4 linked regions of the Pelodiscus sinensis genome follow. The protein of the gene in region 3 purifies or fractionates together with the protein of the main gene of each other region. This does not show direct contact. Links are inferred from orthologs where the notes say so. Each region holds a gene or a part of one and is shown on either strand. Other genes may lie near its edges.

Region 1 (7,655 bases), on a different chromosome or scaffold from region 3:
ACAATGTTGAGTAATTTTAAAAAAAAGTGTATTCACTCCATTGATGCTAGCTGGCATACGGAATTGGGACAGATATTTTGTAAATGACAAGCTCTCTTTCAGATATCCAGCATCTTCACTGGGGCTCAGTCTATTTGAAAATCCTCTTTTTTTTTTTTTTTTTTTTTTTAATGTCTTAGAAGTGGGTAATTTACTCATCGTGTAGTCAATAGGATTTTTATCACTACACAATTAATAAGGTAAGAAGCACTCAGTCCCGGCTCGCACCAAGTCCAGGACCTACGCTTGCTTCATGCTGCTGCCTCCCAGGTAAGTGGCACCGCGGAGACGATGCTGAGGGGGAACTAGCTTTTAAGCAAGCTCCCAACAGCAATGGCTCCTGTTTCCCCTCCCATTTTGCATACTCTGATACAGAGGCAGCGAGAGGGGTGGGGAAATGCGAATAGTCAACGTGACTAACTGATAAGCCTAGGTTTTATTGGTTAGTCAACCACTTTCTTACATCCCTACTTCTAAGCCCTCATCCTCCCTATACCTAAGGCTATGGGAATCTCACACATTTCTGGGAACTGGCACAACTTGTTCTGAATTACCTCAGCCCAGTTTTGCCCCTTTTTATGTTCCATATAATCATTTACCAAGGATGACATTACACATACAGTATCCATATATTTTTTATCTCTTACTTTTCCTGAATGACAGGGGGAGGCAGCTGCAGTATGCCATGCAGAAAAAAATTCAAGGATCTTTTCAAATACTAGTTCTGTCCAGTTCATTAGGAGAAAAGAGCTCAAGAGAAAAAATATTCTAAGCAGAAGATGATGTGTCAGAGTAGCAGACCACAAAGAACAAAAGGCTGAGACTGCAAATTATGCAGACAGGCTATTGGCATCATAAAAACACAGGCCATGAAATGTGAACAACTAGTTCTGAAATAGAACTACTGATCTTTGTCCGTAGACAAATGTTTGAGGGCTTTACCGTCCCTACCGATCTTTGTCCGTAGACAAATGTTTGAGGGCTTTACCGTCCCTTACACGGGACTGGCACATCCAAGAATGTAAACAGAGAATCATTTGTTAACAGTCCCACTCTAGAATTCAACCAGTCCTTTACTATTCCTCCACACCTTTTGTATCCTTCCTGGTTTCTAATTAGTTAATGACTTGGGAAAGTTACGCAAACCTATAGGCTATTATATTTTAGGATACCAACTTTGATTGTTTAAACAAGGTCTGAATGAGTTTGGAAAGAAGACTATAATAACGCACCTTGCTTGCACAGACATATTCATTTAGCCCAGATGCCCAACATGATGGAGCTGTTTTGCCTAAATGATCTCTTTTGGAGGAGGTGTTGGATTGCAAGTTACTTTATGACATGCAGAGCTAATATAATGTTGTTACTGTTGGGGTGGAGAAGCAGAACTGTGCTTGGCATATCCCAGTTGAGGGCTCTATCCTCAACTGAACAATATTCACAAAGCAGAGAGAAGGGATGCCAAAACCCAGTGGAAATGAGGGGGTGGGGACAAGAGTTTGTACTTGGTGGTGGGGGCTCTGCCTAAGGGTCTTAAGTACCATTTGACTTTCTCTCTTGCCACTGCAAATGATCTCATTATAGCCAAAGATGAAGCTCAGGAGTCCATACTGATATTAGCTCTACGTGCAGCTTTGGATACTAGTGATCATGAGGAGTTATTGACCAATTTGTTTGCGGACCCACATGATAGTAGATGAGGCTGATTTTAGATGGCTGATGGTTATCAAATGGCTCCTCGTCTCTAAAAGTCATATCATGAAGGTCTCTACTTAGTTACCCCTCTTCTTCATTGTAAAGTATGTATAGAATCAGTGAGATATGTGAGGAAATATTGTAAGACCATCATTGTGGTGATCATACGGAACTCTGACATCTTTTCATCTCACCCAGCCAGAGTGGTAAACTGCATTACCTTGTATCTGTATGAAATCAGAACATGATTGAGCTGTAGTTCAATCCAAAATTACTTGGATGATATTAAATACAAGATGTTATAGGCAAAACATTATGTGAAGAGAGGATGGATAAGTGAATTCAATCTGAGACTTATGAACCTCCGGGTGCCAACTCATAGAGGACTCGGGATACAGAGACTTTTACACTGATCTCCTGGATCAGAGATATGCATAATATTTTACCAAAAGGTGGTATGTGAGCTTTCTACAAAGAGCCAGTATCACATTAGTGCATTTATTAATATCAGCAGAACTGACTTAAATGGGGCCTGGGTGTTGCCTTAGACTTTGTATTCATACCCGTCAGTGTGAAAGAAGCTATATGCACATATATTTGCATGCATATGCAACCACACTTAAGTTGCGGCCCTCAGCATGTGCTGTGAGTATCATTGTGGCCCTCGGGGCTTCCAAAGTCGAGTAGCCCTGAGCTACCTGCTGCCCAGAGATACAGGGAGCTGGGACAGGCTTGCTCAGGCTGAGGGCAGATGGTAGGACCCTGGCAGCATGACCCCATCACAACTAGAGCCCCCACCCTCCCAACAGCCCTTCTATTGGCCAGGGACGTATTTAAAAGCTTGGCGCGCGCCCCACTTGCCTCTCGCGCCTACACCGGCCCTGGGAACACGCCAGCCTGGAGTGGCACAAGCCCCGCGCCGGCCGAGATCCTCCCACGGTGCGTGGCCGCAGCCAGGCTCCTCAGCCACGCAGGGCCCGCCAAGGGGAGGCGCGGCTCCCTGGCGAATCAGCGGACAACGGGACCTGGGCGGGAGGCGCCGCTATCTCCCCAGCGGGGTTCCTGCCCTACAGCTCATCCCCCTCCCCCAGCGCCGCGCCCTCCTGCCCTCACCCGTCTCCGTTTAAGCTACTGGAGGCCACGGCCGCTGCTAGGCGACGCCATCAAACACCGCTCAGCCGGCGCCGCGGGGGACCCGGATACACGCAGATGAATCAAAACTGGCGGGGGCCTACAAGCCCCAGCGTGCACAGCGCACCCGGCAGAGACTGCCACTCCCGGCACGCACCGCGCCACGAAGAGCGAGGACGTTTTTCAATGGCGCAAAAGAGGCCGCGGTGGAAGAAGGGGGAATCTGCCACGCCTAAGTCTTGCGAAGACTACATTTCCCGGCATGCCGCGCGTCCGCGCGGGGAACTACAGGTCCCAGTACACTAGGCAACCTTATACCAGCCGGCACGCTGGGACCTGTAGTGTGGAGGGGCAGCTCCCGGCAGCCTTCGGGAAAGTAGTGGTTTTCGCGCTTGCGTAGTACACAAGGGAGCGTCCCTTGTAGTCTCCGTGTAGCGCGGTGGCTGTGGAGCGAGTGATGTTCATTGGCGGCAGGGAGAGCGTGTTACCCGCACAGCGCCAGGTAGGGGAGCGCTGCGAGGGCGGGTAGCGGCAGAGGGGGCCCGGCCGGAGGAGAGGGGGGTGTTGCTGGAGCTCACCCGCCCGGTAGCGGCTGCCCCTCCCGTCTCTCGGCATGGGCAGCCGGGCGGGGCTGCCGTCTCCAGAGCTGCCCCTGCTCTCGAGTCTTGCCTCAGCCTGGGCTGCGAGGCCCTTGGGTGCGGGCCCTTCGTTCCGGGCCCGCCTCAGCTGTTCGCCCCTCGCCGCCTTCGGGGACGGGGCTGTTCCCCACTTGCAGAGCAGGGGGTTGCCCTCGGCTCCGGCCCCCTACGCAGCTCGGCGCCCCGGGAGTGGCAGCACTGAAGTGCTACTGGTCACTTTTAGCTGGCATGTGGCGACAGGGGGCTTCTTGGGGCAGGGACCAGCTGCTTGTGTTGTACAGAGCCTTGTCCGGCAGGTCTCCCCGTTCTCCATACAAAGAAGCTATGGGGATGTCTACACTACAGAGTTTTTCGGGAAAATGGCCATTTTTCCGAAAAAAACTCCAATTACATCCACATTGCAATTGCGTTCTTGTGAAAGAAAATCAAAAGAACAGCGGGGGTTTTCCAACATTGGTAATTGTCATTCCACGAGGAAGAAGACTTTTTCCTAAAGAGCTCTTTCGGGAAGTGACACGTGTGTGTGTGTGGACGGGGAAGAGGGAATTCTTTTGGAAGAAGGAAGAGGAAAAAGCACAGGAGCCTTGGTGGCCACTCCATCCATAGTAATCACAGCTGAAATGAAAGATATAATGCACATGGCTTTTTCGATAGGCTTTTGCAGTGTGGATGCTGTCTTGCAGAAGTTTTTCTGGAAGCTCTCTTGTGGAAAAGCTTCTTCCAAAAGAAGCCTGCAGCCTAAACACAGCCTATAGGGAAATATGAGGACTATTCAGCAACAAACCCAGGAGCACACAGCGCTCAAAGCTGAGCTGGGTTTCTCTCGTTACAATTCCTGCTATGTATTCTTTCTTGGACATAGATGTTGTTGCATACGTGTTTTTGGCAATTATGGGCAACACCTGCCTTACAACAGCCCAAGTTCCAACCCCCCTCACTTACAACCATTTTTTAATACGGAAGGGGCTAATAACCCCCGACTTATGTCCTCGGCCCGCATTTATGATGGTGCCTATTGTAAACATGGGTTCGAGTTATGATGCCCCTGACTTGCAATGCTTCCCCCAGAAACCGATCGTGTCACAAGTCGGGGGCTGCCTGTAGTCTTTCCTAATGTGCATATCTGTCTCTAATTCTAACTGCTCTCCTCCAAGAGGTGCTCACATTCTAATGGCTTGTCTTCACCCCATGGAAGATTGCCACTGCTGCAATTGATCATCTGGACTTCAATTTAGAAAGTCTAGTTAAAACTAGATTCCCATAGGCTTTCCTGAACTAGACTTGCTAAATCCAACTCAGAGGATGCCCCCGGTGGCATCTGGTACTCCTCTTGTGAGGAGTAAGGGAAGCCATGGGGATACTGCCAAACTTGACTTAAGTTGCTGTACCCTAAGCTGAGCTCCCAGGTATAGCGTATACCTGGCTTAATATAGCTTCTTCAGAGCTCGCTTTTGCTCTCTTTTCTGGGCATGGCGCTGCAGTAACCAATCCAAAGTTAAATAAAAGCCGTACTTAGGCCATGTCCGTGCTAAGAGCAGCTGTGCCATTATAGTTCTGCAGAGTAGATGTTTTTTATATCAAGGGAAAGATCAGTCTATCAGTGGAGTTAAACTATCTCTCAGGGAGGTGGGATGGACATCTGGTTAAGACGTCTACATTTTTTGAGTCAATATAACTACATTGCAAAGGGTCCGACATTTTTCATAAACCTGGGGGGATAAAGCTATGTACAGTAGATCTAATTTTTAAGTCTTATTAAAGACTAGCTGCCAAGCCTTACTCAGCAGCAAGGAGCAGGCGGGAATATATAGAAAACCAGAGGAGACTGTACTAAACTTCACACTGATTTAATGCCCAGTCACTTATATTGGTTGTGACGACAATGTACGTAAACGCAAAATACTGTATTGTTGGAAAGAAAAATTGAGCTGTTCATATACCATACAAAATTCTGAGTTAACTATCAACTTAGGAGATGGAAAACTTATTGAAGGTGTAGCGTGCAGCTGTGGTCGAAGGCAAAGATGATGTATAAAGAACAGAATGGAGAATCCTACAGCAAATATCCGATTATAAAAATATACATGTGGTATCATTTAGTAAACTATGTGCAGTACCAGAACCAGTCGGCCTGTTTTAAAATTAATATTATAGATTTAGGGAGGATTTTGAGACAGGCAAAGAAACTGGCAGAAGGATGGAAAAACTCATGAGAGATTGGGAAGGCTCTAATTAACTTCCTCAGAAAGGAGATGAACAAGAAGAGATAGGATTCAAGTATACAAAATAAATGGTAAAGAGAAGTAAAATGAGAGGGTCTGTTCTATATGTATCCTAATACAAGGAATTGTGGGATAGTAAAATTAAGTGCTAAAGTTAAAACTAATAAGCATAATTAAACTGGTGGAACTGTGACTGTGTAGATACTAAGGATGTGAACATGTGCATGGTTATCCCACACTGGTAAACTCTCCTCCACTGCACTGCTGCGTCTGTACCGGCATGGTATGAACCGTGTGGGTTTTAGGCTTCACAGCACCAGTCTCTCCCTAAGGCACCACCAGCTCTGGAGGCTCAATGCAGTGTCCAGCTCCCATTGTCCAGGTCTCTGGCTGGATTACTTCTGGAACTCCTGCAGCAGATCCTTCTTCTCTGGCATCCAGCCCAGGCAGCTGAGCATCTCCCTTTTATACTGCCCCAGCACTTGGAGCATGCCCGGTTTGGCTGGAGGGGTGGGACAACTTCTACCCAGAGCAATTGCGCTGCAGGCTCTGCTGTATAATCTTTATACTGAAGAGCCCACAGCATGTAACCTAACTAACTGCTTTTTAACATCCCAAAGCTTTACACATGTTATACACAATTTAACAGGATAATGATTTTCAGTAGGTTATGAATTTTCAAATAATACATAAGAAATATATTAGTCTTGTAAAAGTGGAGTATATGTGGTACCGGGTGTCACAAGGGGTTCAGAATGTCAGTGTGGTGTAATATTTTCACATTGCAAATACTTAGACTCTTTGCTAGCTCTCCTGCAATGGCTGTTTCACCAATGTCAAGGATAATCTATGAGTCAAACTCACAATGCAGTGTTGGCTGAGAATAGTTGATATCCCAGCCACAAAAGAGCAAATCCATTCTGATGATAGAGATGTCAGAATCCCCTGTCAGCTTAACTCAGTGGTTGGCAATTGTGGCCCAACAGAGTTCTCTGATGGCGGGCCTTGAGATAGTTTGGTTTGTTTGTTAAGCAGTCTCAGGCACTTCTCTTCTTCCCCCATCCCCGCCCAGCTCCCAATGGACATGGTTCACTGTTCCTGGTCAATGGCAGCTGCAGGGGGCTGTGCCTGCAGATGTTCACCATGAACAAACTGTGTTGTGGTCTGCTATGGAGGCGGAGGGAGGTCAGCTCCATGTGCACAGCAAGGTGTGGGGTCTCAGCTAAAAGGGGCAGGGCCAGGAGCAGGCAGCCCTCCATGTTGCATGCAGCGTAGTTCTCAGGCAGTGATTTAAAGGGCTGGGGCTTCTGGCCACTGCTGCAGCAGCTGGGAGCCCTGGGCCCCTTTAAATCATGGAACCTTGGGACAGCTACCCCCTTCTGCTCCCCTTCTCCCTCAGGGGCCTTGTGAATTACCATAGGGCTTGATGCAGGGTGGCATCAGGGGCTGGGCACCCCCACCCCAGCAGCAGGAGTTGTGTGGAAGTGGAATGACACAGCAGACTGTGTTTCACTTCATCGCCATCTTCCAGGCCTTCGTGGTTGCTCTGCTGACCCCTGTTACGTGTCCCAGCCTGACTGAGGCTCTGCGAGCTAACCTGAGTATGGCGGGAGACCATTCCATCCATAGGACGGTTGGGGTAGCCACCACAGGGCTTCCAAAGTATGGAGCCCTTTGTGGCTGTGCTGAACTGTTTTATGAGTGGGATGGCTCTGCACACAACTCCCGTGGGCCGCAGGGATGTGCTGGCAGTGGCATAGAGCTAGTAGCTGGAAGCTGCTCTTGTCCTGCTGCACTACCAGTGCTGATTTCATAGACCCATGGTGTGGGGCGTTCCATTGCCCAGTATGACAGGCAAGGACAGGGAATTAATGTGTGGAGGGCACATAGGGCAGCAGGCAGGGCTGGTGGGACACAAGGGGGAGGGGAG
Region 2 (7,245 bases), about 19 Mb from region 3:
ACAACAAGGAGCACCTACTCCTGACTTAAAGAGGCAGGTCTGACCATAAAACCCTCCAAGTGTAAGATAGGGGCAGCCAAGGTCCCTTATCTAGGACATTGGGGGGGGGGCGAAGAAATGTCACCTGACCCAATTAAGGTGGAAGCCATCGTTAACTGGCTAGTACCTCAGAGTAAGAAACGGATCCAATTCTTCATAGGCATGGTGAATTATTACAGGCAGTTTGTGGGCGGGTTCAGCGACATCATAGCCCCCATCACGGACCTGTGCAAGAAGCATCAACCTACTAAGGTGGTTTGGTCAGAGGCCTGCCAGAAGGGCTTTGATGAGGTGAAAGTGCTCCTGTCAGCAAAGCCTGTACTAGCCAGCCCTGATTTTGATAAGACATTTGAATTGTGCACTGATGCATCTGACAGTGGCTTGGGGGCAGTGCTTATGCAGACAGGGAAGGATAACAAGAAGCACCCTGTTGCCTTTCTAAGTAAAAGCTGTCCCCTACTGAACAAAACTACTCCGTCATAGAAGAAGAGTGTCACGCCATAGTGTGGGCGGTCAAACAGTTGAGACCCTACCTCTTCAACAGGAGATTTAGAATTTTTACAGACCATTCACCACTGATATGGCTGAACAGAACCAGGAGCACAACCTCGAAACTGCTGCGTTGGAGTCTGATTCTACAGGAGTTTGACATGGAGATCGTGCACATAAAAGGCAAGGAAAACACGGTGGCAGACGCCCTGTCCAGGAAAGGGGATGTAGGAGACACTACCTCTGCACTGAACACTGTCCAACCCTCCAGCAGTAGTTTCATGGGAAGGTGTGACGGATTCCCCCATGCTTTATGAAATGGACTCATGGACACGAATATATATAACTCAAAAGTGGTGTGAGCAAATTATTTCATGCAACCCATCGATCTTCATGTCAAGATCTGCTGGTTCTGTTTATCTTACTCTGTTGTATGTATCATTTGTGTGTGTAAAATTAGACACAGGGAGTGAGGAATAATTTGTGAATTTCCAATGTGTGAATGGGAGACATGGAGGGTGTTACCTGCAACTTCTAGATGAGCCACTGTTAAACACTCTTTTGTCCTTAAGTCTGAGCAGTGGTTGGTAGGGAGTGGCATCAATTCCTTAACAAAAGGGACAGGAAAGTAGAGGACTGGGTCTTTTGGCTGGGCTGTACCTGGAGGAAGGATCCTGAGACCCCAGGGTGGGGAAGACAGCCCTGGTTTAGAGTGGCAGGTGGAAAAGTTTGCACTGAGGTTTCAGTGGAGAATTAGCCAAGCTGTTTTGTTTCTTTTGATTTGTAACCTACTTTGCTCTGCCTCCTCTCTCTTATTACTACTTAAATCCTACTGCTTCAACTTAATAAAACCATTTTTATTTTCTATCAAACCGAGTGTAAGCGACTGTTACCTGGGGGGGGCAACCAGTGTGCACATCCCCCCTTTCATTGCTAAAGGGGGCTTACCTAATTCTTTGGGGTTTGATCCCATCTGGGGAGTGCTCTCTGAGGAGGCTGGGCCCTAAACTGCACTCTCCTTGGATCTGAAGTGGTTCAGTGTCTGTACTGCTTTTCCATAGGGGCAGGGAGCTCAGCTCAGGGCCTTGGCTAGGGGAGACCAGAGGAACTGGCCCAGCAGGACTGGGCAGTGAGGAGCCCCAGAGAGCAGGAAGGCGAGTGGCAGTGGCCGTGTCAGCACCCCGGGAGGCACCCCCGAGGGGTCGTCTGTGACGGCACCCCGTCACAAGGTTACTTTCTGTAGTTTCTTCATGATGTGTGGCCCCTAACTGGATTCTAAATATGAGTGTGCATGGCACCAGGTGCCAGAACTGTTCATAGGAGAGACCGTTGGCCCGCACATGCATTGTGCACCAGCTGTATGGTGCATGTGAAGCTTTAGGAGGCAACATAGGTTGATGCTGCGCCAGTTCCCCTCTTATGAGTTAGTAGAGGAGTTGGTGGCTAAGGGGAAGGAGGTCAGGATTAGAATTCAGAGAAGGATCACATATCTCAATCTCCAGTTACAGCATGCAGCCTCCTCTTCAGAGGTACCAGTTAGATAGTGTGGAGGGGCTCTAACCCTCCCCTCCTCCCAAGTATGAACCCCTGAATTTCAAACTTGACGTCTGCTTAAAGTGCATGCCCTGACCCCCGACAAAGCTCTTAACTGAAGCAGAGCTTGTGCTGCTCCCAGTTTTGCCTTGAGGGGTAGGGAGTTTATTTATAAATAGAGGGAGTCAGAGTAATTAAGATAACAAAAGGCTTGTCATTACATTAATTGAAGGATCACTAGATGATCATGAAAACATTTTCAGGCACTCCACTTAAAAGATAGGAAACAAAGGGTAGGAATAAATCGTGAGGATGGAGGGAATTAACTAGGTAACCCGTTCCAGTGCTTCTTCACCCTCTAGGGAAACTTTTTCCTAATATCCAACCTAGACCTCCCCCACTGTAACTTGAGACCACACTGCTCCTCGTTCTGCTATCCACCACCACTGAGAACAGCCTCTCTCTATCCTCTTTGGAACCCCCCTTTAGGAAGTTGAAGGCTGCTGTCAAATCCCCCCTCACTCTTCTCTTCTGCAGACTAAACAAACCTAAATCCCTCCACCTCTCCTCCTAGGCCTCCTAATCGTTTTGGTCACCCTCTGCTGGATTCTCCAATGCATCCACATCCTTTCTATAGTGTGGGCCCAGAACTGGACACAATACTCCAGATGCGGCCTCACCAGAGCCAAATAAAGGGGAATAATGACATCTCTGGATCTGCTGGCAATGCTCCTCTTAATGCAACCTAATATGCCATTAGCCTTCTTGGCTACAAGGGTGCCCTGTTGACTCATATCCAGCTCCTCATCCACTGTAACCCCCAGGTCCTTTTCTGCTGAACTATTACTTAGCCATTCAGTCCCCAGCCTGTAACAATGTTTGAGATTCTTCCTCCATCCCAACTGCAGGACTCTGCACTTGTCCTTGTTCAACCTCATGAGATTTCTTTTGGCCCAATCCTCTAACCTGTTCAGGTCACTCTGTACCCTATCCCTGCCCTCCAACATATCTACCTCTCCCCCCAGCTCAGTGTCATCTGCGAACTTGCTGAGGGTGCAATCCATCCCCTCAGCCAGGTCATTCATAAAGATGTTGAACAAAACCGGTCCTAGAACAGATCCTCAGGGCACCCGGCTAGTGTTAACTGGTTAAACTGGGGGCTGCTCCTGCCCGCACTGGTTAACGCTTTGCATCCCTGCCAGCACAGCTGTGACCTGCTTGGTGCAGGAGCGTAGGGTCATGCGGGGCATGGGTGGAGGGTTGAGACTCCTAGCCTGAAAGACTGACAGGGAATGCGGGAGTCCCGGCCCACAGGGGTCTGGAGACGCGGGGGGGGGGGGGGGAGGAAGGGGCGGGAGACCCCGGGAGTGGGGGAGGCGCGGGAGACCCCGGCGGGCTGAGGCGGGAGGCCCCGGGAGGGGGAGGGGCGGGAGGCCCCGGCGGGCTGAGGCGGGAGGCTCCGGGGGGGGAGGGGCGGGAGACCCCGGGAGTGGGGGAAGGGCGGGAGACCCCGGCGGGCTGAGGCGGGAGGCCCCGGGGGGGAGGGGCGGGAGACCCCGGCGGGCTGAGGCGGGAGGCCCCGGGGGGGAGGGGCGGGAGGCCCCGGCGGGCTGAGGCGGGAGGCCCCGGGGGGGGAGGGGCGCGGGAGACCCCGGGAGTGGGGGAAGGGCGGGAGACCCCGGCGGGCTGAGGCGGGAGGCCCCGGGAGGGGGAGGGGCGGGAGACCCCGGCGGGCTGAGGCGGGAGGCCCCGGGAGTGGGGGAGGGGCGGGAGACTCCGGCGGGCTGAGGCGGGAGGCCCCGGGAGGGGGAGGGGCGGGAGACCCCGGCGGGCTGAGGGGGGAGGGGCGGGAGACTCCCTGCCTGGCACTAGGCGCCGCCTCCCCACGCCGGCCGGCGAGGTAGAAGTTCCGGTGTCCCTGAGCACGTGCCCACTCCCAGCGAGCCCTTCGCGCCAACTGCCCCAATTCGAATCCGCATCCTGAGCGCCCAATGACGGGGCGGGGAGCGGGCGCGAGGTCCCGCCCTGTCCGCAGGCCGGCCAATGACAGCGCCAATTGAGTTTGAAAAAAAGTGCGCGCGGCTGGTGGGCGGAGCCTCCCGTGGAGTCCGGAGTCCGACGCGCTCGGGGCGTGGCGCAGCCTGAGGGGGTGGATCCTCGCGCTCTCCGCGACGCGCGCTGGGCTGGGGGCGTGGCCGTGGAGCTGGGGCCCGCCCCTCGTGCCCGGCGCCGGGCTCATTCCGAGCGGGCTGGCGGCGGGCGCGGCTCGGCTCCCTGGGGACGCGCAGCGCGAGCCCGGCGGCAGCATGAAAGCGGGCGGTGAGCGTCCCCGCGCCCGGCGGGCTGGGCTCTCTGGGGGCCACCCTGCGGGGGGGTCCTGCAGGGATGGGGGGGGCCACTGCGCGGGGGGGGTCCTGCAGGGATGGGGGGGGGCCACTGCGCGGGGGGGGGTCCTGCAGGGATTGGGGGGGCCACCGTGCGGGGGGGTCCTGCAGGGATTGGGGGGCCACCGTGCGGGGGGGGTCCTGCAGGGATTGGGGGGCCACCGTGCGGGGGGGGGTCCTGCAGGGATTGGGGGGCCACCGTGCAGGGGGGGGGTCCTGCAGGGATTGGGGGGCCACCGTGCGGGGGGGGTCCTGCAGGGATTGGGGGGCCACCGTGCGGGGGGGGGTCCTGCAGGGATGGGGGGCCACCGTGCGGGGGGGGTCCTGCAGGGATGGGGGGGCCACCGTGCGGGGGGGTCCTGCAGGGATCGGGGGGGCCACCGTGCGGGGGGGTCCTGCAGGGATCGGGGGGGCCACCGTGCGGGGGGGGGGTCCTGCAGGGATTGGGGGGGGCCACCGTGCGGGGGGGGTCCTGCAGGGATTGGGGGGGCCACCGTGCGGGGGGGGGCCAGCAGGGATTGGGGGGGTCACCGTGCGGGGGGGGTCCTGCAGGGATTGGGGGGGGTCACCGTGCGGGGGGCTCCAGCAGGGAGTGGGTTGCCAGCCCGTGGTTAGGGGGCTCTTGCCCTGGCAAACTCCAGATGCCTCATGTGGGGCTGGGGGGGGGGGGGGGGTTAAGCCCAGCAGGGTGGATGCTCTGCTGTCTGTTTTCTGGGGTGTCCTTGGGATGGGTGCTGCATGTTTCTCTGAGCCTCGGACCCTGCATTCTCAGATTTGAGACATGAGGGCTAAGTAGTGTCTGAAATACCCTTCCCAGCATCTGATGGGCTAATCCCCTCACCTCCATGTCCCCAGATGGTCTCTGGCACCTCCTTATTGTCCTTTTTACTTCTCCCCTGTGCTCATAAAAGAGTGTGTTTTAGATTTTATTTTTAAATTCCAAAGAGAGGGAGCCCCACTGGTTTAGGCGGGTGGATTTAAAAATCAACCGAGCCTATAGTGGGACAGGACGCTGCCTGCAGGGGGAGGGGACTCACTCATGGTTCCTGCATGGGCACCCAGGACTTGAGAAAAGAGCTGCTAGTCTTATCTTGGTCACTTTGGGTTTCTCATCAACCCAGAGAGTTTCACAAGATAACCTTACTTTATAATTTATGAAATGAAGGTGTGGCTGCAAGATTTGCAGGGAACAGATGAGATTTTGCTTCAAAAGACAGGGTGTTTGAATGAAATGTAAATTACTGAAATATACACATTGCAAAATTCCCCATCAACAGCAGAGACTTGAATAAAAATACTTTAAAAGTTTAATTCAGAATTAGAGGGATTTTTGACATTTCAGGCTGGTCACAAGATTGAAAGTCAGACTCAAGTATTGCAGTTCCCTGTTTTTTTCAATATAAGTCTCATTTTATCTTTGCCATGATAACATCTACAATTGAAATATGACCTCTAAGCAACCCTCCATTCTCTCATGTCCAAAGATAATTCAAATTTAATATAATAATATACAAACTGCAATATTAATTCCTAATTTAATATGGCTGCCTCTGGCTGAGGGAAGCAGCTAATTGGCACACTTATGGAGGGAAAAAGGAGAATGTATGACCAAAAGCCTAGGAGCAAGCTCCCCTAATTTTACACAAGTGCTAAGGATTCCTATGTCCAGAGCAGACAAAACTTGCTTTTTTATCATCTGAGCATAGTGAACTGCTTGCAGATCATCTAATGAATTACTTTTTTGCCAAAAACTATAAATGGGTTTACCAAGTAGATTTTGTTGCAGGCAGATTTATTTTAAGAGGAAAGGGTTTTTTATTACACTTTCTGCATTAATTGGACAGAAATATTAGAATACTTCACCCAAGTTGAATGTTTTCTGATTCTTGCTATGGGGTACATAACACTAGAAGATCTGCTTCTTAAATACACTATCTTTGCTTGCTAAATGTATTTTGGAATGCTTTTGTTGTTTAGTCAGTACCTGAATTTAAAATATTAGAAATGCAGCTTGTATACACAATGTAGATATGTTAATAGTGTATGAGGCCATTTTAAAGTTAACTCACTGTAATATAACTTCTGGGCTACTAGAGCTATATTGTCCACCATCTAGTCTTGCTTGATTCAATTTCCTGGACTGTGGGTCAGTTTCAGTTCTGAATACAGGCTTAATTGGCATGCCAGTCTAGAGATGAATTCCTTCTTACATTGCAGTAGTTCTCTTGCTGAAATTGGGGGGAGGGGGGGAGATACCTATGAGAATAATTTAGTGATTTGTGCATATCAGAATTGCCCTTTAAATTACATTAATATAGCCTTTTATTACCAGGAGGAGAATGGATGTTTAGTTAGAATAGTTATCCTGGAAACTCCAAAGTATTAATAGGATACATACTCAGTTTGTTAGTCTGGGGTAGCTGAAGCAAAATGCAGGACAATGTAGCACTTTAAAGACTAACAAAGACGGTTTATTAGATGATGAGCTTTCGTGGGCCAGACCCATTTCCTCAGATCAAAAATCTGATCTGAGGAAGTGGGTCTGGCCCACGAAAGCTCATCATCTAATAAACCATCTTGTTAGTCTTTAAAGTGCTACATTGTCCTGCATTTTACTCAGTTTGGATATTTTAGGTGGCCCGTTGCTTTTTCCCCCCCTAGGCAGATACCTATTCATTTGCATTAGGAAATACCCAGGTCTAGGGACTGTATTACTCAGTCTTACGGAGTGTCTCTCTACCTGGAGAAATGTTGCTAGCCCTTGCTAGATAGAGGGGTACTTCTGGTGACCATTCCTGCA
Region 3 (6,835 bases):
AATATAAAAAAAAAGACTAGTGCCTAAAATATGTGGGAGGCAGTGCTGTTGTTACTTGGTGAGGGTGAAGGGTCAGAAAAGAGATTCTCTCTCAAGTAATGTGGGAAAACAAATTAACATTGTAAATATGGTTTGGCTCAAACTATCTTTGCTATAAGATGATAGTTTGCATCAACTACCCTGAAGTTTTTAAAAACTAATAATTTAGAAAATTAACAAGATTTATACAAGCAGTCCCCGGGTTACATGGATCCGACTTACATCAGATCCCTACTTACAAACGGGGTGAGACAACCCCGCACTAGCTGCTTCCCCCCAGCAGACCAGGGAGACGCGAAGCTAGCGCCCGCCGCCCCCCTCCCCCCCTCAGCAGACCAGGGAGACGCAGAGTGGCTTTTCTCAGCAGACACCTCAGCTTGAGAATAAAGGACTGAGGGAAGTGAGGTGCGGGAGAATAAAACTGAGCTCTGGAGAAATGTTTGGCTAGAGTTTCCCCTACAATATGTACCAGTTCCGACTTACATACAAATTCAACTTAAGAACAAACCTACAGTCCCTATCTTGTACATAACTTGGGGACTGCCTGTATTGTTTTCACCTTCAATGAGTGCAAGATGAATGCAGTAGTATTGTTTTACAAAAAAAATCACCCTCCATTGAATGCTTTTTCGAGTGAGTAAAGAAACAGGCAGCTCAATATAAATCATAATGATTTCATCACAAGAATATATGGTTCCCTTCAATTATGATGTACCATGATAAAGATTTACAGTACAGAATGCACTGTTATAAATAAGTCACTTAAGTTAACAATAGAAGGCAAAGACATATTTGCAGGTGCTGTAGTTAATCAAACACCTGTAACAATCATTTTCACTACAGGTGACTGAGAAGCACTAGTGAGGACAGAAGGGCACTTAATTACATGCCCTGATATTTACATTTGGAATTGATATAATTATTCCATTGGTGAAACCTGAAGACACCCTAAGCCCATGAAAATTAGTTCCTGAAGAATTTTTAACACCATGGCAGATTTAAAACTTGCAAAAGTCTATATACCTTGTTTAACTGAACACAAGGTTAAACAAATAAAGAATGGGGGCAATACATCTTTGATGATCTTTTTAAAATTACTTTTTATCCCATCTCTCCACTAATACACAAAATCCTCCTTCCAAACCCATGAGTACATTTATTTGACTTGTGTTCTCACAGATATTAAATATGGTTATTAAAAATCCCCACAGATTACTAGAATTCTAAAATGGCATTATAACCAACAGGTGCAATTTACTCCAGCATCCTGATGATAATGTTATCACTGCTGGAATTACAGCTTTACTGGGGGGGAGGAGGAGATACAAATCACAAAGTGTATTCTTAATCTTCTGTACAACAATTTGTGCAATTCTGAGACTGAAGGGAAAAGCCACACCAAAGTTTGGAAGTTGTGGACAGAAATAGTGTTACATTACTGTAAATTACTGATGATGTACCTAAAATTAGCAAACACATTCCTGGGTTGGTAAGTTATTAACCTTGAAGGCAGTGGGGCTCTGCTTAAGACCCCCCAGCTCAACAATTTGAGCTCAGAACAAAAGAAAAGATAAGAAAATTCTGCTACTAATAGCAAAACTGCTTATTCCCCATCTTTACAGAATTGCTTTTTTCCACAGTATAAATTCACTGCCCTTCTGCACTAAGTGATAGGAAGAACTGCTATAAAAATAACCCAATCTGAAGAATGTGGGCTTTTCAGCAAAAGCCCCCAAACCATGTGCAGGAGGAAATTAAGATTTGAGTCACTGAATCTGATTGTTTTTGGAGTCTCCATAACATTCTACTTGTACTAAAAATTACTGAGCCAAGCAAAAAATCTCAGCTGGTGACGGTCTTGTGTGCTGATTTGCTTTCAGGATGGTTAGGGGTCAAGAAGTTATTGGGGGCCAGCTGTCTATCACCTCTCTCTTCTACCAGATCAGCTCTCCTTGCAGAACCCAAATGCCTATGTTCAATTTCAGGCTCTCTTGCAAACTGGATGGAAACTGGAAATTCCCTACAAATGATAAAACTGGTTCAACCACAAACCACCACCACCAATGTTGATATGGCAGCCCCCGTCCAAATTAAAAATTCACAGCCACGCAAGAAACTCACAAGACATGTTAGTCCTCTCTCTCCTTTGGGTTGTCTCGTTCTTGTTACTGCCTTCGTCCAAGAAGCCCCTCCCTGAAGCTTCAGTCTCCTGATTTCTACGCAGCCCCCACCCTCTCTTCATTCAAACCCCTCATTCTGGTTGGTCCACCTGCTCTAACCCCCCGCCCCAGAAAGCAGCTGCCTTCCCCGCCCCCCAAAAGAACAGCACTCAGCTCCTCCCACCCTCAACTCAAACCTTCCCCCGGAGCCTGGGCTCCGCTACAGCCGCCTCTTGGGACTGGGCCCCGTTTTATCCAGCGCCGAACACCTCACAGCTGACACCGAGGGGCAGCGGGCGGGGGGGGGGGGGTTTGGAGGGGGGGATGGGGAGAAAGTCAGACGCCGGCGGCTTCCCCCCCCCCCACACGCCGGTGAGGCAGAGGGAGTTCTGGAGGGTTCCCGCCTACGGAGGTGGCGGCCCCTCAGGTCCAGGCGGGGGGAGGAGACGCGGAATCAGCCGCAGGCCCCGGCGCGCGCGCACACTCCGCTCCGCGGCCGGGGCAGACCCCGGTACCTGCTACGGGCCCCCACGGTGGCGGATCCGTTGCTGGCGGGCCCAGCGCACCCAGGTTCCCTGCACAGAGCGCGCTGCAGCGCTCCCCGCCAGGCAGCAGCGGGCTCCTGGCAACCGCAAATCCCGCCGCACCCCGCCCCTCTCCCCAGCGCCAGCCTTCCCACTACCCCCTCAGAGCTTCCGGCTGCAGGCGACTCACCGAGCCGTTCGGCCCAAGGGCGGGACGGAGATACTACAAATCCCAGCATGCAGTGCTTCTCCGCGACCACTTCCTCTCGCCATTTGAGGGTTGCATGCTGGGAATGGTAGTCCTATTGAGCCCTAAGCAGCTTGCCTCAATAGGGAGCATTGTGCGCAAGGTTCTGTAGTTTGAGCCGGGGTGCACTGTACTGCACTTCTCAATTGAATGTGAAGATGACTTCGATTTTATATCGGGTGTAGGGAGTTTTGCTTCCCATGCTAATATTCCCAGAATCATCCCAATTCATAGGTGCTACCACACGCCTTCACTTGATGTAGTTTTCATCATACATGGGGTTTGCAGTTTGGGTCAGTGATTCTCAGCACTCCGACTGTACACATTGTTCCAGCACCTGTGCTGATTTTCAGTGGAATATATGCACCCGTCCTAATATCATTTCAAGGACCCTGAAATCAGTACCATCTTTACACTGCATCACCATAACCTTCTAGGAGAGGTGTCACCACACCACATTTCAGAGGTGATGATAGTTTGATGGACTGTAATATGTCAATGCAGCCCTAGGACAGAGGCATCACTCACACTCCAGCTTTATTCTTTTACACGAGTCATCAGACTCAAGCTTTCAGACTTTCTCAAGAATTCATCACTCCTGTCTCTTCAGCAGCCTTGGGTACACCAGCTACTAAAGTGTTCATCAAGTAGGCATTGTGGCAGGTTGGAAGAAGACACCGCTACCGCACTAAGCTCAGGCTATGTCATCTTAAAGTTGTAGAAACACTTAGTTTGGGGGGTAGGCATTAAAGTCAGGCTAATAGTTATCATCAGTAGCATGATCTTTACACCAATTATCAATTTAAATCTTATGAGCCTGCCTTTTGTTATCTTAAAATAACACAGAACTTGTCAAAAGATTTTAAAATACTTTTCTGACTCACTTAATCATTATAAATTATTTCAGACCTATATATGTTGGACTGGTTTTCTCAGGATACAGCCAGCCAGACTTATGACCAAAACTACTCTTATTACATTGTGGGTTCAGTGAGGCAGGCATTACTTGAACTAAGCACCTTTCGCACTACTTATTACTTAGAATTCCTGTGATATTACCATTGTCTGTTGATGCAGGAGAAAAAAAGATGAAAATTTAGCACAAAATCAGTTATAATCTGAGAAAAACTGTACCACTATCTGCAACATCATTGCAAAATACCTGCATCATCCAGGCTGCCAAATGCAGAATTATTATAGGCACTGTGACCAAAGTTACAAAGTTCAAATAGTACAAGCCACAATACAATTAGCCTACAATACACTGAATTGGTGGCCAAATTCTAAGAATACCAGACAGACATAATTAAACAGAATTTTATCATAGTTCTCTGGATACTTTATGGCAACAAAGGGAAGATTTTCAAAGGCATAACTAAGCATTGCTACTGCTCAGCCAAATGATTGTACAATAATCTGTTTTCGAGGAAAGCTTGATAACAAGAACAGGGTGGCCCCTTATATGTGTAGGAAACAGAAGACCAAAACAACTCTTAAGTGCGTTTGAAGCTGTGATTTTAACACTAGGACAGTGTTTTCTTTTTGCGTGCTCGATTCATGGTCTATTGAACATCAGGAATTAGCTGCAAGATCCCCAGTTGCCGTTGCACCTTTGAACGTCCCCTTCTAGACACTTCCAGGAGTCAGAGCAGACTCAAAAGACAGGACTATGCATCACTTTAAAGACTAACAAGATGGTTTATTATGTGATGAGCTTTCGTGGGTCAGACCCACGAAATAAACCATCACTTAATAAACCATCTTGTTAGTCTTTAAAGTGCTGCATAGTCCTGTCTTTTGTTTCAGCAAGACCAGACTCACAGGGCTACATCTCTATTACTACTGAACAGACTCAGGCTCTGCCAGTGCTGCTGGAGCGTCGAGACAAGCCACTACACCGAGCCACGTTGCGCCCCAGATCCTGTCAAGCGGTACTTGAGGATTGGCTGACGGATAGAGGTGCGGCGAGCGCTGGATGGTGATTGGCTGGCGATTGCCAGTGATCGATGTTGACTGGCTGGTGGCAGAGATTCGGTGGCGGCTCACTGGTCGTTGGAAATCGATTGCCGGCTTCTGATTGGCCGGTGGGTCTAAGTGAGGATCATTGTGTGATCACGGTGCAAAGGCTCTGGCTCGGCCTAGCAACTAGTGGAGGGGGGGGGGCTCCCCGGCCCTCTCCCCCAGCTGGCTGCCATGTTGGGCACCTTCACGACCCTGCTGGGGGCGCTGCTGGTGCTGAGCCGCAGCCCGGCGCTCTCCTGCCTGCTCACCGCCGGCCTCTACTTGGCGCTGCGGCTCTTCAGCCTGGAGCCCGTCTCCCTGCAGCGAGCCCAGCACATCCTGCAGCCCCGCGGCACCGCCGCCCGCATCGCCCACCGCGGCGGCGGGCACGACGCGCCCGAGAACACACTGGCGGCCATCAGACAGGTCAGCCACCGGGGGACCCCCCCCCACACACACACATTTCCCCCGGGACCCTCTGGGACTCTCCCGCTGCCCTTCCCCCGGGACCCTCTGGGACAGCCCCCCCCCCCCCGAGCCTCTCCCCCCGGACAGTCCCTCCCGAGTCCTCCCTTTCCCGGCTGCCCTTCCCCCGGGACCCTCTGGGACTCTCCCGCTGCCCTTCCCCAGGGACCCTCTGGGACAGCCCCCCCCGAGCCTCTCCCCCCGCACAGTCCCTCCCGAGTCCTCCCTTTCCCGACTGCCCTTCCGCAGGGACCCTCTGGGTCAGCCCCTCCCCCCTCGAACTTCTCCTTTGGGCTGCCCTGCCCTCCGGGACAGTCCCTCTTGAGTCCGCCCTCCAAGCTGCCCTTCCGCAGGGACCCTCTGGGACAGCCCCTCCCCTCCCACGCGTTCTCCTTGCTGAGCCTAGGATTATTTTCTAATTGTACAAAACCAAACCGCTTTGCCACGCCCCTTTCCCTAAGGCCCCTCCCTTGCTCCCCCCTCCCGCGCTGGCTTTCCCTGGGCTGCCGCAGGGGGTTGGGATGTAGGAGGGCTCCAGCTGGCTGGGTGCGCTGCTGGTGCCCACAGGGGCTGCCCCTGCCGCTCCCATTGGCTGTGGTTACAGGTCAGTAGTGGGAGCTGTGCAGGTGGAGCTGGAGGCAGAGGGCATGTAGGAGCCAGAGGGAAATGCTTCCAGGAGCTATGCGGAGTCAGGGCAGGTGCCTTAGCCCTGCTGTGCTACTGACTGGACTTTTAACAGCTGGATCAACAATGCTGACTACAGCCGTGTCAGTCCCCTTCTGACTGGGTGTTCCAGTCGAAAACTGGACACTTGGCAATCCCAACTGAGCCTGATTTACCCCACACTCTGCTTGCTGTTCCCAGGAACCCTCTGGGACAGCCTCCCTTCCTAGCACACTCTCTCCTTACTGAGCCAAGGGTTACTTGCCAATTTTCTAATTGTACAAAACCAAACAACCTTGCCACACCCCCTTCACTGAGACCCCTTCTCTTGCTTTCCCCCACCCTCATTCACTTTCACTGGGCTGGGGTAAGGGGTTTGGATGCCAGGAGGGCCCCAGTTGGAGCTGCGGGCTCTGGGATGGAGCCAGAAACATGGCATGGGTTGAGGTCCAGCCTTTGGGGTGGTGCTGAGGGATTTGGGATGCATGAGGCGGCTCTGCTCTGGGACTGAGGGATGGGGGGTTTTGGTTCAGGAGAGGGTTCAGGGTTTGGGTTGTAGAAGGGAGTTTGGGTGAGGAGGGGGGCTCAGGGCTGGGCAGGGATTGGAATGTGGGGTAGGCTCTGGGAGGGAGTTTGGGTGCTTGAAAAGATTCTGACCTGGGGCAGAGGGTTCATGATGTAGGCTCTGAGTGAGTGGGCCATTCCCAGTTGGCAGCACAATGGGGCTGGCTCCATGC
Region 4 (6,849 bases), on a different chromosome or scaffold from region 3:
AACCTGTTAACTAATTAAATGGGATTTTACATTCCTATTGTATACCAGTGATAATTAGAGATGAAAGCTTCTAGTTGCGTAGCTGACTACCTGATAAGCACAGGCTTATCAGGTAGTTGAGTGACTACTTAACTAGTCTCCCTCTGCTGTCTCTGTATCAGAGGCAGCAAGGGGGGGAAGCAGGAGCCAGTGCTGGGGGGAGTCGGCTTAAAAGCCAGTTCCCCTCAGCACCATCTACACAGTGCGGGGGTGGAAGCAGGGAAGGCTGAGCTGTAGTGGTCCCGGTGGCACCATGAGATGGGACTGTTCAGTCCCGGCTAGCACTGCCCCCGGGAGCCAACCCCACTGCAGGATCGCTCCGACCCCCTTATTGACTGATATTTAACATCCCTAGTGAGAATCTGGTCACATCATCCCATAAATTCATCCTTGCAAACAATATTGAACAATCACCTCCAAATATGCGAGACATGTCAAAACTTGGTGACTGAAACCGAACGCTTTGACAACACTTGTCTCTGCCTTCCACATGAACACACAAGAAACCAAATGCCACTGAAAGTGGACTTTTGAGATCTGCCTATACTACATGACTACAACCCATGGCATTAAACTCAACTGGATGCTGAACTATTGCCAACATCTTGATAATATCACAAAGAAGATAAAGAAGAAGGTTAACATCATCCAGAAGCTCATTAGCACATTGTGGAGATGTGATGAATGCATGCTTCGAACATCACTATATGCTCTTGTCTTGGCATCAGCAAAAATGTGCCAGTCTGGTGCAAAGCTTCAGTGGGTAGGCACTGAACTCAACATCATGCTCAGCCTTGTTGGTGATTCTCTGAAATCAACCCCAACCAATATGTGGGTCTCTCAATTTTGGTAGGCATAGTTCCAGCCACGGTCAGGTTATGCTAGATACTGCTTGTGGCCAGGAGTACAATTTCTTGGCCACTCTGGACTAATCCCCTGTAGGCAGGGTTTGAATCAATGCTTCCATTACAGCCAGCTGGAATGGGAAAGAAATCCTGGGTGTGGTTAGGTAAAAATAGTTCGCTCAGTTTGCTTAGACCTACTAGATATTCAACAGTTAGAATGGTGTTTTGCCCATTGTTGTGGAGCCACAAACTCTGTTGACCCTAAATGCAGGAATTGTAAGATATGACCACCAATGCTTGCAGTTATTGGGGGAATGCAGAAAAGTCATACTGTGTTTCACTCAGTTTAAAGGAGAGAGACTATCAGTGTAAAGAATAAGGCTTTCTCTGCCAAAACTCTGGAAAGTCAACTGGGAGGAGGGCAGAACTCTGAATCAGCAGGCTGCATGCACTCCAGGCGTGAGCTGTAAGACTGGTTCAACCTGTTTTGTCCCCCTCCTCCCCAAATCCGGTCTAATGTAAGAAGTAGAACAGAGTCCATAAAGTCAAGTATCAGAGGGGTAGCCGTGTTAGTCTGAATCTGCAAAAGCGACGAGGAGTCCTGTGGCACCTTATAGACTAACTGAAGTGTAGGAGCATAAGCTTTCGTGGGCAAAGACCCACTTCGTCAGATGCATGCATCTGACGAAGTGGGTCTTTGCCCACGAAAGCTTATGCTCCTACACTTCAGTTAGTCTATAAGGTGCCACAGGACTCCTCGTCGCTTTTGCAGAGTCCATAAAGAGTCTCTTTTTGATTTTAAAATGTATTCCAGCGGATGCTGGAATTTTTTGGCTAGACTGTGCTTTTGGCCAAGCGTTAAAATCACTGAGCAGCTGAAATCACAAAGGTTTGGCCCAAAGCCAAATCTACCACAAGGCTGTTGGAGGGAGCGGCCAGCAGGTAACTGGTGGAGCGGCTGGCAGGAGCAGGAAGTGAGCGGCATTGCCACATCCTCAAGGAGGGGAGACAACATGATGATGTACCTATAAGCTCTGGGTCTGCATTGACTGGACAGAGCCATGAGCAGGGTGTTTGAAGTGGGGGGAAAGCACACTATATGAGTTGGAGGGTAGATTAAAGATCTCGGGACCGTATCTTGCTTCTGGGTTTTGTTTGTGTGTGTTTCTGTGGATTAATGTTACATTGCTGTCATTAAATAGACTGTTTCTGTCTCCGACCCAGTGCTTGAGAGAGAAGAATTACCTTTAAAGGCACCCAGTGGGTAGGTTTACTGGCTTGAGCCAGTGTGGGTACATTGTTGAAAGAACTCCCTAGATACTGAACTGGCCCTTCTGACTGCCAAGTGCTACCTACAGAAGGGTTACACCACCTCAGTTCACTCCCTCTCTCCGCACTGAGAGCCAAGGTTTCCACAGGACTATCACACAGGCCAATGGAAAAGCTGCCAGCACTCATTGGCACAAGTCATGGATGGCTTGCGATGTCCCAATCAAAGACTCAAAGGTAGAGATAATGAAAAATCCAACCCTCTGTCTTCCCCACAGGCAGCAGCCAGCACTGCCTGGACAAGTGTGTGCGCTGTAAAGATTCAAAGGCCGGCCAGCTGGTTAGCAGAGCCCCCCTCAGCCAGCGGGATGTGTGGCGAGCGGTGGTGCGCAGCCGCACTTGCCTCGGGGCACATACAACTGATGGGGCGGGTGGGAGAAGTGGCGGGACCCTTGGCGGGTAACTCGCGCCGACAGGGAAAAGGCAGAGAACGCCCGAGCTGCGGGGATACGAGCCCCGGGACGCAGCTGCCCCCATTGTGCCTGCAGGCTGGGGGGGGGGAGGGGGGGGGCACTATAACGTCGGTCCGAGCGCCTCAGCCCCGCTGCTTCTCACACGAGCGGCGCGAGCAGACACCAGCCCGCCCCCCACAGTGAAGCCGGCACGAGCCCTCCGCGCGCAGGGTAAAGCCCCGGCCGAGCCGGCGCGCGCACTTCCTGCCCCTCACCCTGGCCAGCTGCTGGCGGATGATCTGCTTCAGCTCCGAAGCTTTCTCCGGAGGCAGCGCCATGGCGAACCCCCAACACCCAGAGCCGGTGCCCCCTCCCCCCAGCCCCGCCCACTGCGCTCCGCAACCGCGCGCTCCGCCCCAACCGCTTTTCGAACAAGCGTCCCGCCAGAGCGCGAGGGCGCCCTGCTCAGACGCCTGATTGGAAGCCCGGACCCTCCTCCAGCCCGGGGCCGAGAAACGGGCCGGCCGCCCCCCCTGTCAGGGGCTCCAGTTACGCATCAGAGGACGTCCTGCCGAGGAGCCCTACGGGGACAGGCGGTTACAGAGGACGCCTAACTCCCCCCTCACACATCAGCCCCCGCTTAGGCGTCAGGCAAATGCGCCGCAGAGCGGAAGGACCCTGGCGGAGGCGAGTCGCGCGCACCCAGCGCTGAACGCTCCCGGCGCGATGTTTGTGCCCTGCGGTGGCTCCGCGCCCGCCAGCTTTGAAGGCTTCACGCTCCTGCTGGTAACGCCGCGCGCGGCCCTGGGGGGGGAACCGTCGCCCCCGTCGGGGCCTGAGGGCGCAGCGGGGCGGGATGCGCGTCCCTGCGGAAGCGCTGGGTGGGTGAGCGGCGGGGGGCAGAGAACCAGCCCCCCCTCCCCCTCCCCGAGCTGGGAAATAGAAACGTGTCTCCGCTGCTGTTACTTGCCGGGGCTTTGTCGTAGCCTGGACCTGGGGGGGGGGGTCGCTTGTCTAACCCGCCCCCGCAAGAGGGGATGCGAGTAACGGCAAGCGCTGTGTGGATGTTGGGAAGCTGGTGGTAGAGGCAGCACATTCAAACTAGGGATGTGAACGACTAGTCGACTATCCGGTAAGCAAATCCAACTAGTTGCTCCCCCCACCCCCTTGCTACCTCTATCAGATAGAGGCAACAACAGGGGGAGAAGAGAGGGGTAGTTTGAAGCAGTGGAGCCGCATGGACCCTGTGGCACTGTCACTTTGAAAGGCTGTGGTGGTATCACAAAGCGGCAGCACCATACTGAGCCCAGCATCACTTGGGAAGTTGACCCTGGGCTCCACCAACTTTGAAATGTACAAGAGTCCCCAGCGGGAAGTGCCTGCTTGGAGCCCAGAGTCAGTGAAACTTCCCGCTGGCCCTGGGCTCCATGCGGTGGTCCAACTTTTTCAAAGGCGGAATGCTGAAGTGCCAAGTTGAGTAGTCAATGGAGAATTCATCGACTACTTGACTAGTAAATTAATTGCTAGTTGACATCCCTAGTTCAAATGCCCATCCTTGAGCGCACCCAGGTCAAAGACAGTGGTAGCTGAGTTTGGTGCAGTCTCCTTGATTAAGTTTTCAACTAATCTAACAAAAACTATTGTTTTCCCATTACACAACTAAATGTTCATAGTTTGCTATCTTAAGCCTAATCTTTATGGGTAGTAGAGGCTGTATGTTGATTTTTTTTTTCAATAGTGCACATCTTATTATTCAGTGCTGGTCTGTTAGTACAGGAACAATCTGTTAAAAAGCCAGTACCTTCCATAAAGGGAAGTTTTAGGTTTTCTGACCCCACTTTTAAAATATTGGGTAAGAGGATTGTGATTTGAGCATATACCTACAGATATTTTGTGGAGTTTTCATTTATTAATTTGAATATTATACATAGTTCATTATTCAAATCACAGTTGAATGTATAAAAACTGTAATAACAATATGGTCACAAGTCTTCTGTTGTTCCAGCCAGCTGTATCCGTTGGGAATGTTGGCCAGCTTGCAGTAGATCTACTTATTTCTACCTTTGACATGCCTAAAGTTGGTTACTTCTACACTGATTGCCTGGTGCCAATGGTTGGGAATAATCCATATGCAACAACAGAAGTAAACTCAACAGAGTTGAGTATAAATGCTGAAGGTGTGTTCCAAAGTTATGTCTCAAATATTGAAGTGTGCCCCAATCCTACAATGAGCTTTATACAGAGACCTCCCAGTAAGAATGGAGTCTATAGGGGATGGTGGAAGTAAACCCATCTGCATGGTGCCACCAATTTAATGGCCATGAAATACATCATTGACAGTGAAATCTGGTTTTGTGTGTGCTCCCCCCCCTCCCCCCCGATATTATATAGATTTCACAGGGGAGAACACATCTCACGTTGGGGCCCTGACTCAAAAGGGAATCGTCTGTCAGGGCTACAAGGTCATTTTAAGGATGCAGCAATCTTGCTGTTCTTAACATAACATAAGAACGGCCGTACTGGGTCAGACCAAAGGTCCATCTAGCCCAGTATCCTGTCTACCGACAGTGGCCAGCACCAGGTGCCCCAGAGAGGGTGGACCGAAGACAATGATCAAGCGATTTGTCTCCTGCCATCCCTCTCCAGCCTCTGACAAACTGAGGCCAAAGACACCATTTTATCCCCTGGCTAATAGCCTTTTATGGACCTAACCTCCATGAAATTATCTAGCTTCTCTTTAAACTCTATTATAGTCCTAGCCTTCACAGCCTCCTCTGGCAAGGAGTTCCACAGGTTGACTACACGCTGTGTGAAGAAGAACTTTCTTTTATTAGTTTTAAACTTGCTACCCTTTAATTTCATTTGGTGTCCTCTAGTTCTTCTATTATGGGAACTAATAAATAACTTTTCTTTATCAGCCGTCTCCACACCACTCATGATTTTATAGACCTCTATCATATCCCCCCTCAGTCTCCTCTTTTCTAAACTGAAAAGTCCCAGTCTCTTTAGCCTCTCCTCATATGGGACCTGTTCCAAACCCCTAATCATTTTAGTTGCCCTTTTTTGAACCCTTTCTAAGGCCAAAATATCTTTTTTGAGGTGAGGAGACCACATCTGTACACAGTATTCAAGATGTGGGCGTACCATAGTTTTATACAGGGGCAGTAAGATATTCTGGGTCTTATTTTCTATCCCTTTCCTAATAATTCCTAGCATCCTATTTGCCTTTTTGACCACCGCTGCACTCTGTGTGGAAGTTTTCAGGGAACTGTCCACGATAACTCTAAGATCTCTTTCCTGATTTGCCGTAGCCAAATTAGCCCCCATCATACTGTACGTACAGTTGGGGTTATTTTTCCCGATGTGCATTACTTTACACTTATCCACATTAAATTTCATTTGCCATTTTGTTACCCAATCACTCAGTTTGGTGAGATCTTCTTGGAGTCCCTCACAGTCTGCTTCTGTCTTGACTATCCTAAACAGTTTGGTATCATCTGCAAACTTTACTACCTCACTGCTTACCCCTTTCTCCAGATCATTTATGAATAATTTGAAAAGGATTGGTCCCAGGACTGACCCTTGGGGTACACCACTAGTTACCCCTCTCCAATCTGAAAATTTACCATTTATTCCTACCCTTTGTTTCCTGTCTTTTAACCAGTTCTCAATCCAAGAAAGGACCTTCCCTCTTATCCCATGGCCATATAATTTACCCAAGAGCCTTTGGTGAGGGATCTTGTCAAAGGCTTTCTGAAAATCCAAGTATACTATATCTACTGGATCCCCCTTGTCCGCATGTTTTGTTAACTCCTTCAAAGAACTCTAATAGATTAGTAAAATTAATCTTAGTTAAGATTAAGATTAGTAAGAACTCTAATAGATTTCTTACTTTTGTGCTGTCTTCAGAGCTGGGCAGCAGCTAGAGACCAATAGCTGTTGGCCAGGCATCCAGCTCTAAAGATAGCACCCTACCAGCCGCAGTGCAAAAGTAAGGGTGGCAATACCATATTTTACCACCCTTACTTCAGTGCTGCTGCCTTCAGAGCAGGTGGCCAGAGTGTGGTAGCTGCTGACTGAGGGCTCAACTTTTTAGGCAACAGCACAGAAATATGGGTGGCCATGCCATCCCTGCTTCTGCAGTGCTGCTGGTGGTGGCTCTGCCTTCAGATCTTGGATCCCAGCAGTCACAGTTCAGCCACAGGTAAGGGTAGCAGTACTGTCACTTCCCCTACAATAACCTT

Evidence for each region.
Region 1: the proteins of CCP110 (region 3) and CEP290 purify together in Homo sapiens (co-immunoprecipitation; 6 studies listed by BioGRID and IntAct, with this or other methods). This does not show direct contact. The link is inferred for Pelodiscus sinensis from reciprocal best matches to the Homo sapiens genes CCP110 and CEP290.
Region 2: the proteins of CCP110 (region 3) and CCNF purify together in Homo sapiens (affinity purification with western blotting; 7 studies listed by BioGRID and IntAct, with this or other methods). This does not show direct contact. The link is inferred for Pelodiscus sinensis from reciprocal best matches to the Homo sapiens genes CCP110 and CCNF.
Region 4: the proteins of CCP110 (region 3) and CEP76 purify together in Homo sapiens (co-immunoprecipitation; 4 studies listed by BioGRID and IntAct, with this or other methods). This does not show direct contact. The link is inferred for Pelodiscus sinensis from reciprocal best matches to the Homo sapiens genes CCP110 and CEP76.

What each region holds. Positions count from the first base shown.
Region 1 is NC_134711.1:76,742,997-76,750,651, forward strand, and holds the start of CEP290 (centrosomal protein of 290 kDa), read right to left. Parts: upstream 3,002-7,655; 5' UTR 2,848-3,001; intron 2,826-2,847; exon of another isoform or gene 2,596-2,825; intron 1-2,595. UniProt on the Homo sapiens protein: Involved in early and late steps in cilia formation. Its association with CCP110 is required for inhibition of primary cilia formation by CCP110.
Region 2 is NC_134726.1:1,950,704-1,957,948, forward strand, and holds the start of CCNF (cyclin-F), read left to right. Parts: upstream 1-4,225; 5' UTR 4,226-4,367; coding exon 4,368-4,380; intron 4,381-7,060; exon of another isoform or gene 7,061-7,245. UniProt on the Homo sapiens protein: Substrate recognition component of a SCF (SKP1-CUL1-F-box protein) E3 ubiquitin-protein ligase complex which mediates the ubiquitination and subsequent proteasomal degradation of target proteins.
Region 3 is NC_134726.1:21,043,756-21,050,590, reverse strand, and holds the start of CCP110 (centriolar coiled-coil protein of 110 kDa), read right to left. Parts: upstream 3,014-6,835; 5' UTR 2,913-3,013; intron 2,886-2,912; exon of another isoform or gene 2,161-2,885; intron 1-2,160. Other genes in the region: GDE1 (glycerophosphodiester phosphodiesterase 1), read left to right, coding at 5,163-5,396.
Region 4 is NC_134712.1:87,531,181-87,538,029, forward strand, and holds the start of CEP76 (centrosomal protein of 76 kDa), read right to left. Parts: upstream 3,010-6,849; 5' UTR 2,944-3,009; coding exon 2,881-2,943; intron 1-2,880. Other genes in the region: PSMG2 (proteasome assembly chaperone 2), read left to right, coding at 3,332-3,391, 4,611-4,782. UniProt on the Homo sapiens protein: Centrosomal protein involved in regulation of centriole duplication. Required to limit centriole duplication to once per cell cycle by preventing centriole reduplication.